3 linked regions of the Sus scrofa genome follow. The protein of the gene in region 2 interacts with the protein of the main gene of each other region in a pairwise test. Links are inferred from orthologs where the notes say so. Each region holds a gene or a part of one and is shown on either strand. Other genes may lie near its edges.

What was found. The genes of interacting proteins can lie anywhere in the genome.
Region 1: the proteins of ASNA1 (region 2) and GPX7 interact in binary tests that used the Homo sapiens proteins (3 or more experiments, as listed by UniProt). The two-hybrid records come from large-scale screens. The link is inferred for Sus scrofa from reciprocal best matches to the Homo sapiens genes GET3 and GPX7.
Region 3: the proteins of ASNA1 (region 2) and ASPH interact in binary tests that used the Homo sapiens proteins (3 or more experiments, as listed by UniProt). The two-hybrid records come from large-scale screens. The link is inferred for Sus scrofa from reciprocal best matches to the Homo sapiens genes GET3 and ASPH.

Annotation. Positions count from the first base shown.
Region 1 is NC_010448.4:159,592,869-159,595,784, reverse strand, and holds part of GPX7 (glutathione peroxidase 7), read left to right. Parts: intron 1-1,977; coding exon 1,978-2,239; intron 2,240-2,916. UniProt on the Homo sapiens protein: It protects esophageal epithelia from hydrogen peroxide-induced oxidative stress. It suppresses acidic bile acid-induced reactive oxygen species (ROS) and protects against oxidative DNA damage and double-strand breaks.
Region 2 is NC_010444.4:66,258,325-66,262,427, forward strand, and holds the start of ASNA1 (ATPase ASNA1), read right to left. Parts: upstream 2,812-4,103; 5' UTR 2,622-2,811; coding exon 2,461-2,621; intron 1,623-2,460; coding exon 1,475-1,622; intron 1-1,474.
Region 3 is NC_010446.5:72,101,875-72,104,723, forward strand, and holds part of ASPH (aspartyl/asparaginyl beta-hydroxylase), read left to right. Parts: intron 1-1,995; coding exon 1,996-2,146; 3' UTR 2,147-2,849.

The DNA of each region.
Region 1 (2,916 bases), on a different chromosome or scaffold from region 2:
CCCAGTGGTTCCCAGCTAGCTGTGATCTTTCTCCCCAGGGGCCACCTGACAAAATATCCCCTGAGACATTTTTGATTGTTAAGACTAGGCATCTAGTGGGTAGAGGCCAGGGATGCTGCTGAATATTCTACAATGAACGGGATAGCCACCTCACAACAAAGAATTGCTCAGCCCCAAATGCCAATAGCGCTGAGGTTGAGAAGTTGGTGGCTGTGCATGTCCAGTGCCCCAGGCTGCCCCTTGGAGGTGGCCCTCTTTATGGAGCCAGCCAGTATAATCCCGCCTCTTCTAAAAAAGTGGCCAGCGAGATACGGCTGGGCTGCCCAGACACAGGTAAGATTTTAAATCCTTTAATAATATGTAACTAGAAGCTCTAATCATAGCATTGGTGCCAAAACTGTAATTGCAGTAATATAATAGAGTTCCATCAGCCAGCTTTATATTTATCACCTAAAGGCAATAAATACATTCATTATAAAGCAATAATAATTTAAGAGTGAGTCTAGTGGTAGAAGAGAATGGTATTGTTTCCTGGAGAGTGAAGGGCAAAAAAGGATTGCCCTGGAGTTCCCGTCGTGGCGCAGTGGTTAACGAATCCGACTAGGAACCATGAGGTTGCGGGTTCGGTCCCTGCCCTTGCTCAGTGGGTTAACGATCCAGCGTTGCTGTGAGCTGTGGTGTAGTTTGCAGACGCGGCTCGGATCCTGCGTTGCTGTGGCTCTAGCATAGGCCAGTGGCTACAGCTCCAATTCGACCCCTAGCCTGGGAACCTCCATATGCCGCGGGAGCGGCCCAAAGAAATAGCAAAAAAAGACAAAAAAAAAAAAAAGGATTGCCCTGAGGTTCTTGGGATCCCTTTATCAAGAAAACCATTTCTGGGAGTTCCCTGGTGGCCTAGTGCTTAAGGACTCGGTGTTGTCACTGCTGTGGTTTGGTCTGTGGCTTGGGTTTGGGAGCTTCCCATTGCTGTGGGCATGGCCAAAAAAGAAAAACCCCCAAAAAACAAGAAAAGAAAACCACGTCAGGGAGTTCCTGCTGTGGCTCAGCAGTAACGAACCCAGCTAGTATCCTGAGGAAGTTGTAATGAACACATGCACACACACAAAAACATCCAGTATTAACAAGAATAGGAGCTCCTGTCATGGCCCAGCAGTAATGAACACGACTGGTATCCATGAGGACGCAGGTTCGATCCCTGGCCTTGCTCAGTGGGTGAAGGATCCAGCGTTGCTCTGAGTTGTGGTGTAGGTTGCAGACTCGGCTCAGATCTGGTGTTGCTGTGGCTGTGGTGTAGGCCAGTTCCCATTTAATGCCTAGCCCGGGAACTTCCATGTGCCCCGGGTGTGGCCCTAAAAAGACAAACAACAACAACAAAACCCCATGTCTGTCTATGTACCCAGTCAGGTGATCACATACTCGTGGACACTCACTCACTCATTCGGCACATGACTGTCTAAGACTTTTCCATATGTCAGACCTAGCAGTGAAGTGGACACAGCTCCTGCGCTCATCCCAGAAGGGAAAGCCACACGCATATAGGCAACTTGGGTGTCGAATGACAAGTGCTAGTTGACTGAGCCAGCACTTGAACCCAGGCCTGCCGTTTCCCTCTCTTGTGTCACCTCCTGATGTGAGCGCATCAGTATGTGTGCCTCTCTCTGTGCTTGTGTTCTGTGTTTGTGGGCATGTGTGATGTGTGCTAATGTGTCTCTGAATCATGGGGCAGAGGCATAACCCCTGATGTGTATCATGTGCTTATTCTCATGAGTCTCATAAGCCCCTGCACACCTGACTTCATTTGTGCCTGTGCGCATGTGTTCGTGTGGATGTGAGAGCATTGTACACACGTTTGCATGTGTGTCCATTGCGTTCTTAACTGTTGTGGGGAGTCACACATGTGGGCTTGTCAGGACACGTACAAGGGCATGCCTCTTCCCGGGGTTGTGTATGTGTCTGGGTTTTGTCTCTGTCACCCAGGTGTCCCTTGTGGTGAATGTGGCTAGCGAGTGTGGCTTCACAGACCAGCACTACCGCGCCCTGCAGCAGCTGCAGAGGGACCTGGGGCCCCACCACTTCAACGTGCTCGCCTTCCCCTGCAACCAGTTTGGTCAGCAGGAGCCCGACAGCAACAAGGAGATCGAGAGCTTCGCCCGTCGCACCTACAGTGTCTCTTTCCCCATGTTCAGCAAGATCGCAGTCACAGGCACAGGGGCCCACCCTGCCTTCAAGTACCTGACCCGTGAGTCCCGAGCCTTCCCTCTGCTGGCTGAGGCCTGGGCTCCCTGGGCGGTGGAAGCTTCTGGCTGGCTGGGTGACCCGGGGCCCCGTCCAGACCCCGCACGTGGGTCGATGGTCTGTTCTCATGCTCATCTTCGAGGATGGGCCGCCTAAGAACATCGCCACCCCTGCTGCCTCGCGGTTCTCCCTCAGAGTCACTCTAGTAGACTTCTCTGGGCTCTCCTTTCCCTCTGGGGGAGCTCCTAGAAGGAGACTGGGCCCTCAGATTTTAGGCAAAATGGAGGGGTTGAGTTTGTGGACTTAGCTGCAGACAGGGGACACCACATGCCTGGAGAAGACTGGCAGGTATCACCTGTCCCAAGTCAGAGGCAACATCTACAAGCCACAGGAGGTAAACCTTCTGAGCCAGGATACCAGATCTTTTTTCTTTTTAGGGCCACACCTGCAGCATATGAAGCTCTCCGTCTAGGGGGCGAATTGGAGCTGCAGCTGCCAGCCTACCCACAGCCACAAGCAATGCCCAATCCGAGCCTCATCTGTGACCTATGCCTGCAGCTCATGGCAACACCCAGATGCTTAACCCACTGAGCAAGCCCTATGGATTGAATCTGCGTCCTCATGGATACTGGTTGGGTTCTTAACTCACTGAGCCAAAACAGGAACTCCACCAGATCTTTT
Region 2 (4,103 bases):
CTGTGTCCTCATGGTTACTAGTTAGATTTGTTTCTGCTGAGCCACGATGGGAGCTCCCCATTTTTTTTTTTTTTAAATGGCCTCACCTGTGGCATATGGAAATTCTTAGGTCAGGGACGGAATCTGAGCAGCAGCAGTGAACTAAGTTATAGCTACGGCAATGCCAGATCTTTAACCCACTACACTGAGCCGGGGTTGAACCTACACCTTCCCATCAAACCAAGCTGATACAGTCAGATTCTTTTTTTTTTTTTTTTTTTTTGCTTTTTAGGGCTGCACCCATGGCATATGGAGGATATGCCTTATGTACCCTAGTTGGGTTCGTTAACTGTTAACCGCTGAGCCATGAAGGGAATTCCCTGCAGTTAGATTCTTTTTTATGTGTGTGCTTTTTAGGGCCACACTTGCAACATATGGAAGTTCCCAGACTAGGGATCAAATCGGAGCTACAGCTGCCAGCCTACACCACAGCCACAGCAACACAGGATCAAAGTCACTTCTGTGACCTACACCACAGCTCATGGCAATGCCGGATCCTTAACCCACTAAGCGAGGCCAGGGATTAAACCTGCACCCTCATGGATCCTAGTTGGGTTTGCTAACCGCTGAGCTGTGAAGATAACTCCCCACAGTCAGATTCTTTTTTTTTTTTGGTGCTTTTTAGGGCCGTACTTACAGCATATGGAAGTTTCCAGGCTAGGGGTCGAATCAGAGCTGCAGTTGCTGGCCTATATCACAGCCACAGCAACACCAGATCTTTAACCCATTGAATGAGGCCACATTCTCCTGGATACTAGTCGGGTTCATAACTTGCTGAGACACAATGGGTATTCTGTTTCCATTCTTTTTTTTTTTTTTTTTTTTGTCTTTTTGTCTTTTTAGGGCCACACCCGCAGCATATTGCGGTTCCCAGGCTAGGGGTCTAATCAGAGCTACAGCTGCTGGCCTATGCCAGAGCCACAGCAATGCCAGATCTGAGCCACATCTGTGACCTACATCACAGTTCACAGCAACACCAAATCCTTAACCCACTGAGCGAGGCCAGGGATCAAACTTACATCTTCATGGATACTAGTTGGATTCTTAATCTGCAATGGGAACTCCCTACAAGGAACTTTTTGAAAAACTAATTTGGCATTGACATTACTCTGCTTAAAACAAAGAGCTTCCCATTAAACTTGGAATCAAAGCTGACCTGTTTCCAGGGGCCTACAAGGTCCATGTAGCCCTCACTGATGTCTCTCTCCTGACTCCTTACTCATTAAGCTCCAGTCACTCTGGTCTCCCTTTGCACCAGAAGCATTCCTCAGTCATTCCCCTATGGGTATGTTGAGGGGGTGAAAGTGGAGAGACAGAGGATGGAGAATGGGTGGACATGGTAACTGCTGATGGATGTTGTTCACAAGGGAAAAGCCTGAAGGTGCCTTTGCCAGAGTTGGGACAGAGCGTTAGGACTGAATCCTGGTACACTTACCATGGCGAAGAGGTTGTCATAGCCTTTGACCTTGGTAGGCACCTTGGAGAACTTCTGGTCAAATGCATCAGAGATGTTGTGGGCTGGGTCTGTAGAGATGATCAGAACACTCTCCCGCCCTTTGGAGAGCTGGACTGCTAGGCTGCAGCTGGGCAAGGGAAAGGCCAAAAGGTATGGATTGAAGAATCAGCCTCTGCTTTCCCTAGGTCTGCAAGAGGACATGAAGGGGCCCAGGAGCAGGGGACCTGGATCAGCAAGGACCTTGAGAGGAGAGTATGGATAACTGTGGGAGCAAGCCTCAATCCTTGTAGAGGGACCTTCTCAGACATCTCTCACAGACCCCTCTAGCTGGTTAGAGTAGCAAGGTTCTAATGAATGTCGGTCTGGCCTGATGCTTACTTCTTTACTAGCAAAGTGGCATGTCCAGCTGTCTAGCCAGTATAGCTCGACTCTCTGCCCCTTTCGACAACGCTAAGCTAAGGGATCCTTCGCGTCTTCGGCTAAACTCTATGGTTCAACTCACTTTTCCCAGGTACTCTATCCGAGGGACCCCTCTCCCTCCTCCCAGATGACTGGGATAGCCTGATCATATGCCCTCTCCCAGCCTTCCACCTCCACTCCCACGTTGGCATATAATGGCAAGGTTCACCAGACTAGTGGGTTCACCTGGTGCCCCTCGCCCTACCCTGAGGTCAATCTGGTACAGTCCAGCTGACTGAGACATCTAAGTGCGCTCCGGGCCCCCAGTGCGCTGGATCAAATGTGGTTCAGCCCTTGAACTCCAGCAGATTGTACGATTCAGAAGATGCGGACCTACATTCAGGAGGTATCTTCCACTTACTCCACGTAATTTCCGGAGAGTACAACCCTGAAGACCCCGGGCCAGCCTTCTAGCCATGTTGGTTGTGGAAGACCGGCCCATAGCCTCCCCTTTAACCGGTGGTACATCCCACCCGTTTTCTCGGCCCCCGCCGCAGCCTCCTTACCTGCAGGTGGTCTTGCCAACGCCACCCTTGCCCCCAACGAAGATCCACTTAAGGCTACGCTGCTCGATGATGTTGCTAAGCGTGGGCTCCAGCGGCTCCACATCAGGGGCATCCTCGAACTCCTCTGCCTCAACCCCCCACCCGGCCACCCCTGCCGCCATCTTGGACCCGGCTCACGTGATCAAGCGGAGCGAACTATGCAAAGCACCTACAGGGGAAATTTCCTATCATATCCCGTCACGGCTAGAAGCGTGAATTAATTTTCTCATGATCTGACTTTTAGGTGATAATAGAAGCTATATTTCCATATTATCCCCTTCCAAGGTTCACCTTGTCAACCTCTTGTCTATATTTTTTCAAAGACTCCCCCTGCCTAATTAACATATTGGTACCTTCCAGGTCACTCCCCTTCACTGATTGGGCCCTACGTCTTGCCACACTCCTTCCATTGGCTTCATCTTTTCTTATTTTCACCAATCACTCTCACGTCCCTGTAGCGGCCGACCTCCCCTTAGCAACCAGCCAAACACACGGTCCATGCCCTTTCCAAGAAGTTTGATCCGAGGTCCATTCCTACCTGACTCCATAGGCTCAACTTCATGTCGATCATTTCCCCCTATTTTCCAAATCTGGTCCCAACACCGCCTCAGGTCTGTCTCTTCTGTTACCTAACTGGCAACTGGCTGGGAGCCATTGAGCTCCTGACGCGAACCAATCATAGACGAACCGATTAGCTATCTTGAGATAGGTCCTCGGGGTGCCAGTGGTTAGAGGCAGAACAACTCCAGTTATGGGCGAAAGCCACAGATCCTTGTCCATTGAGCCCTGAGCCCCACGCAGGGCAGGGCCAACATTTGCAACCTCGCTCTTTGTCGTAGAAGGGGTCTGTTCTCGAAAACCTCCTTCCACTTTGCTCCCTATTCGAGGGGAGTCTGCAGTTCAGCCAATTATCTTTTTGAACCTCTGCCCCAGGAATACATGCTCGGTTCCAGGCCGTTGGAGGACACTCTACCTTAGATAGGGACTGCAGTCTAGAAATATCCGCGGCTTCACCTAAGTACTCTAGCGCATACAATAATACCCTGACTTTCAGATGAGGACCCCAGTTCCTTCGAGCAAGCGGTGTCTCTATTCCCAAATGAAAGCTCCATTTCAGAAGACAGGTACCCAACCCAGAGACGCCTCCATTTCTATTCTGGGGGCCCAGACTAGATGTACCCCCGAGATCTAGTTAGGGACCCAGGTTCCGAAGATTCAGCTGAACACACAGCCTCAGATGAAGTCCTTCCCCACGTTGAGATTTTCTCTGGTGCCAGAAAAGCGAATATGCCCCCAAGTCCCAGGCGGGAACCTCACTCCGAGAGCCAGCTATCGCCGTAGGCTTAGACGATAGCCTTATTTCGGGGGAGACCATGTCTGCGTAACGCTCGCGGAAGTTTAGTTGGGTTACTATAATCCGCTAGGCAGGGCGATGTATCTGTCTGCTGGTGCGCGGCTTCAAGCTTTACTCCTCTTTCGCCCCGCCCCGCGTGCCCCGCCCCCACTGCGGACGCTAGAGGACTAGACGGGTCTTCCCAGCATGCATTGCTCGGGACGAGGCAAGTCGGGCGCCAAGCGCGGGGTCGGAGCGGCCTTCCCGGAGT
Region 3 (2,849 bases), on a different chromosome or scaffold from region 2:
TGTGAGAGAGCACACGAGGTGCGTGGGGGAGGGAGGGAACGGGGACCAGAAGTAAGAGGATTGGTTCCCAACTCCAAGGAACTTTGAACTTGCATCTGTTTGTTACTCTACTAGTTACTATAAATAATTTGCACATTTTATTGTCAGTCATTTACATGTCTGGGATGAAACTGTCTCCTAGCTCACTGCCCAGGACATTTGGCAATGACTGGGGACATTTTTGATCGTCACAACAGGTAGCAGAGCGCTACTAGCACCCAGTGGGTGGGGTCCAGAGATGCTGCTAGACGCCTCACAAAACACTGCACGGCCCCCACAACAGAGAATTATCTGGCAAAAACGTCAGTTGAAAAATGCTGCAATATGTAATATTACTTAATTTAATATTGATTAATCACCCAGTAATGAACATAAAAAGACAAATCATTTCCCTAAGGAACACTTCCTTATGATCATGCAACAAAATGATATCAAGCTAGCATTTTTCCTCCTATAGTTTTAATTGTTAGCTAATCCAGGAAGTAAAATTTTAAATATTTGAGAAAATGTTAACATCTAGAGAAAATTTCCTAGTAAAACTTTTATTTTAAAAGCATAGCCTAGCATTTAATATATTGGCAGTTAATACCTATTTGAAAAAGAAGAGAATATTAGCATAATTAATCAACTTTTTTAGGGTTTGAAAGGCACTGAATGTATGGTTGCCTCTTCTATATTTCTCTCTTGACTGCTTTATTTAGACTAATACCATATTTAGATATCTTATGAAGTAATACTGTAAGCCTTAAAAGATGTTTCACAGTATTCATTTAAAATATTCCATGGAGGAGTTGTGGCTCAGCAGGTTAAGAACCTGACATAGTATCCGCGAGGATGCGGGTTCGAACCCTGGCCTCACTTAGTGGATTAAGGATCCAGTGTTGCCATAAGCTGCCGCATGGGTCACAGATGCAGGCCGGATCTGGATCTGGCGTTGCAGTGGCTATGACGTAGGCCGGCAGCTGCAGCTCTGATTTGACCCCTAGCTCAGGAACTTCCATAAACTGCAGGTGCGGCTGTAAAAAGAAAGAAAGAAATGTTCGATGGATAACCCTTTTCATAGCAGATAACATTAGAAATATAAACAATCTTCCCTTCCATAAATGAAACTTTAACAAATGGAACAAGTTGAAAAGAGAATCATTTGGAGATGCACACACACCATGCCAGGCATCCTACAGGACAGAGAGATGTCTGAGACTCAGTTGTTGTGGGTAGGGCTACACCAGTCTCTGAAATGCCACTGAGGACACCATGGAGTCATTTTCTGGGAGGGCACCTTGGGAATGAGCCATTGGGTGCTTGCCCAGCTAAACAAACCTTGCCTGGGTTTGTACCAAAAATGTTTCCCCTGCATCAGCCCCCTGTTCTTTGTACTCCTTCAGAGTTAAGTACTAAAAATCGATATTCATGGTAGGGATCCTGAAATAATTCCTTCCTTCCTTCCTTCCTTCCTTCCTTCCTTTCTTTCTTTCTTTCTTTCTTTCTTTCTTTCTTTCTTTCTTTCTTTCTTTCTTTCTTTCTTTCTTTCTTTCTCTCTCTCTCTCTCTTTCCTTCCTTCTTTTTCTTTTTCTTTCTTTTTTTCTTCCTTCCTTTCTTTCTCTCTTTCTCTCTTCCATATGCACCTGTGGCATATGGAGGTACCCAGGCTAGGGGTCAAATCCGAGCTGCAGCTGTCCTCTACAGCAATACCAGATCCTTAACCCATGGAGTGAAGTCAGGGATCGAACCCGCATCCTCTTGGGTGCTAGTCTAAATCGTCTTCTTTACTCGCTAAGCCGTAATGGGAACTCCCTAAAATTCTTTCCTAATCACCTAGGAAAGTACACATCCTTGCTTGCTGTTCCACTTACCTGGCCATATGGCAAAGGTTATCTTGAGAATGCCTGCTTGAACTTAGATGTGGGTCAGACCTCAGGCATCTGAATCATAAGCTCCCATGCTTTTCTGTGCCAGGACCTGGGAAGAAGGCAAGGTGCTCATCTTCGACGACTCCTTTGAGCACGAGGTGTGGCAGGACGCCAAGTCTTTCCGGCTGATTTTCATCGTGGATGTGTGGCACCCGGAGCTGACACCCCAGCAGAGACTCAGCCTTCCTGCAATTTAGTCGTGCCGTCTCGGACACGCTGGAGAGGTTCCGACTCCTTGATGTGGACATAGACCTTCAAACACCATAGCCCTTAATTCCCTTGACTTGCAGCCTGAAAAATTTCTAAACCTCCTCTGGGATCGGAAGATGCTAAAGGGAATATTCGCCTTGCTGTAGTTCTTTTAGAAAAGACCTGCCGGTTTTCACCCAGGACAGCCCTAATCTGATGCCCGTATTCCAGGTGAACACATGATGCTTCTACCTTGCCAGCCAAAGATATTTTTTTCCACTGAAAGTAGGCAAAATCAACATAAATGAGAATATGTGTAGAGATTGTGAATAATTGCTTTAGTTTGCCATTTTTCTCTACAGTTATATTTTTCGAGGGTCGCTAGACCATTTTGTCATCACATACCACGACTGTTTTTGTTCATTTTAGTGACAGGCTGTATAAATGCTTGACTTCTAGCTGTAGCTTCCCTGGTGAACTCAGATTTCCATCTTTTAGTTATTTTTAGTAAAAGGCACTCATTTGAAAAAAGAAAATTCTACTTTCCTAATACAAAGGAGAAGGAAGTAATCACGCCAGTGTCTATGAACTGGACTGCTCCCTACCCATTGGGTCGATTTACTCTTTTGTCTTCATTGAGAGCCGGTGTCTTAATTTCTCTCCTCGCCATGTGAATTGTGGAAATACTGTCAAAATGGTATTTCTTTCTAA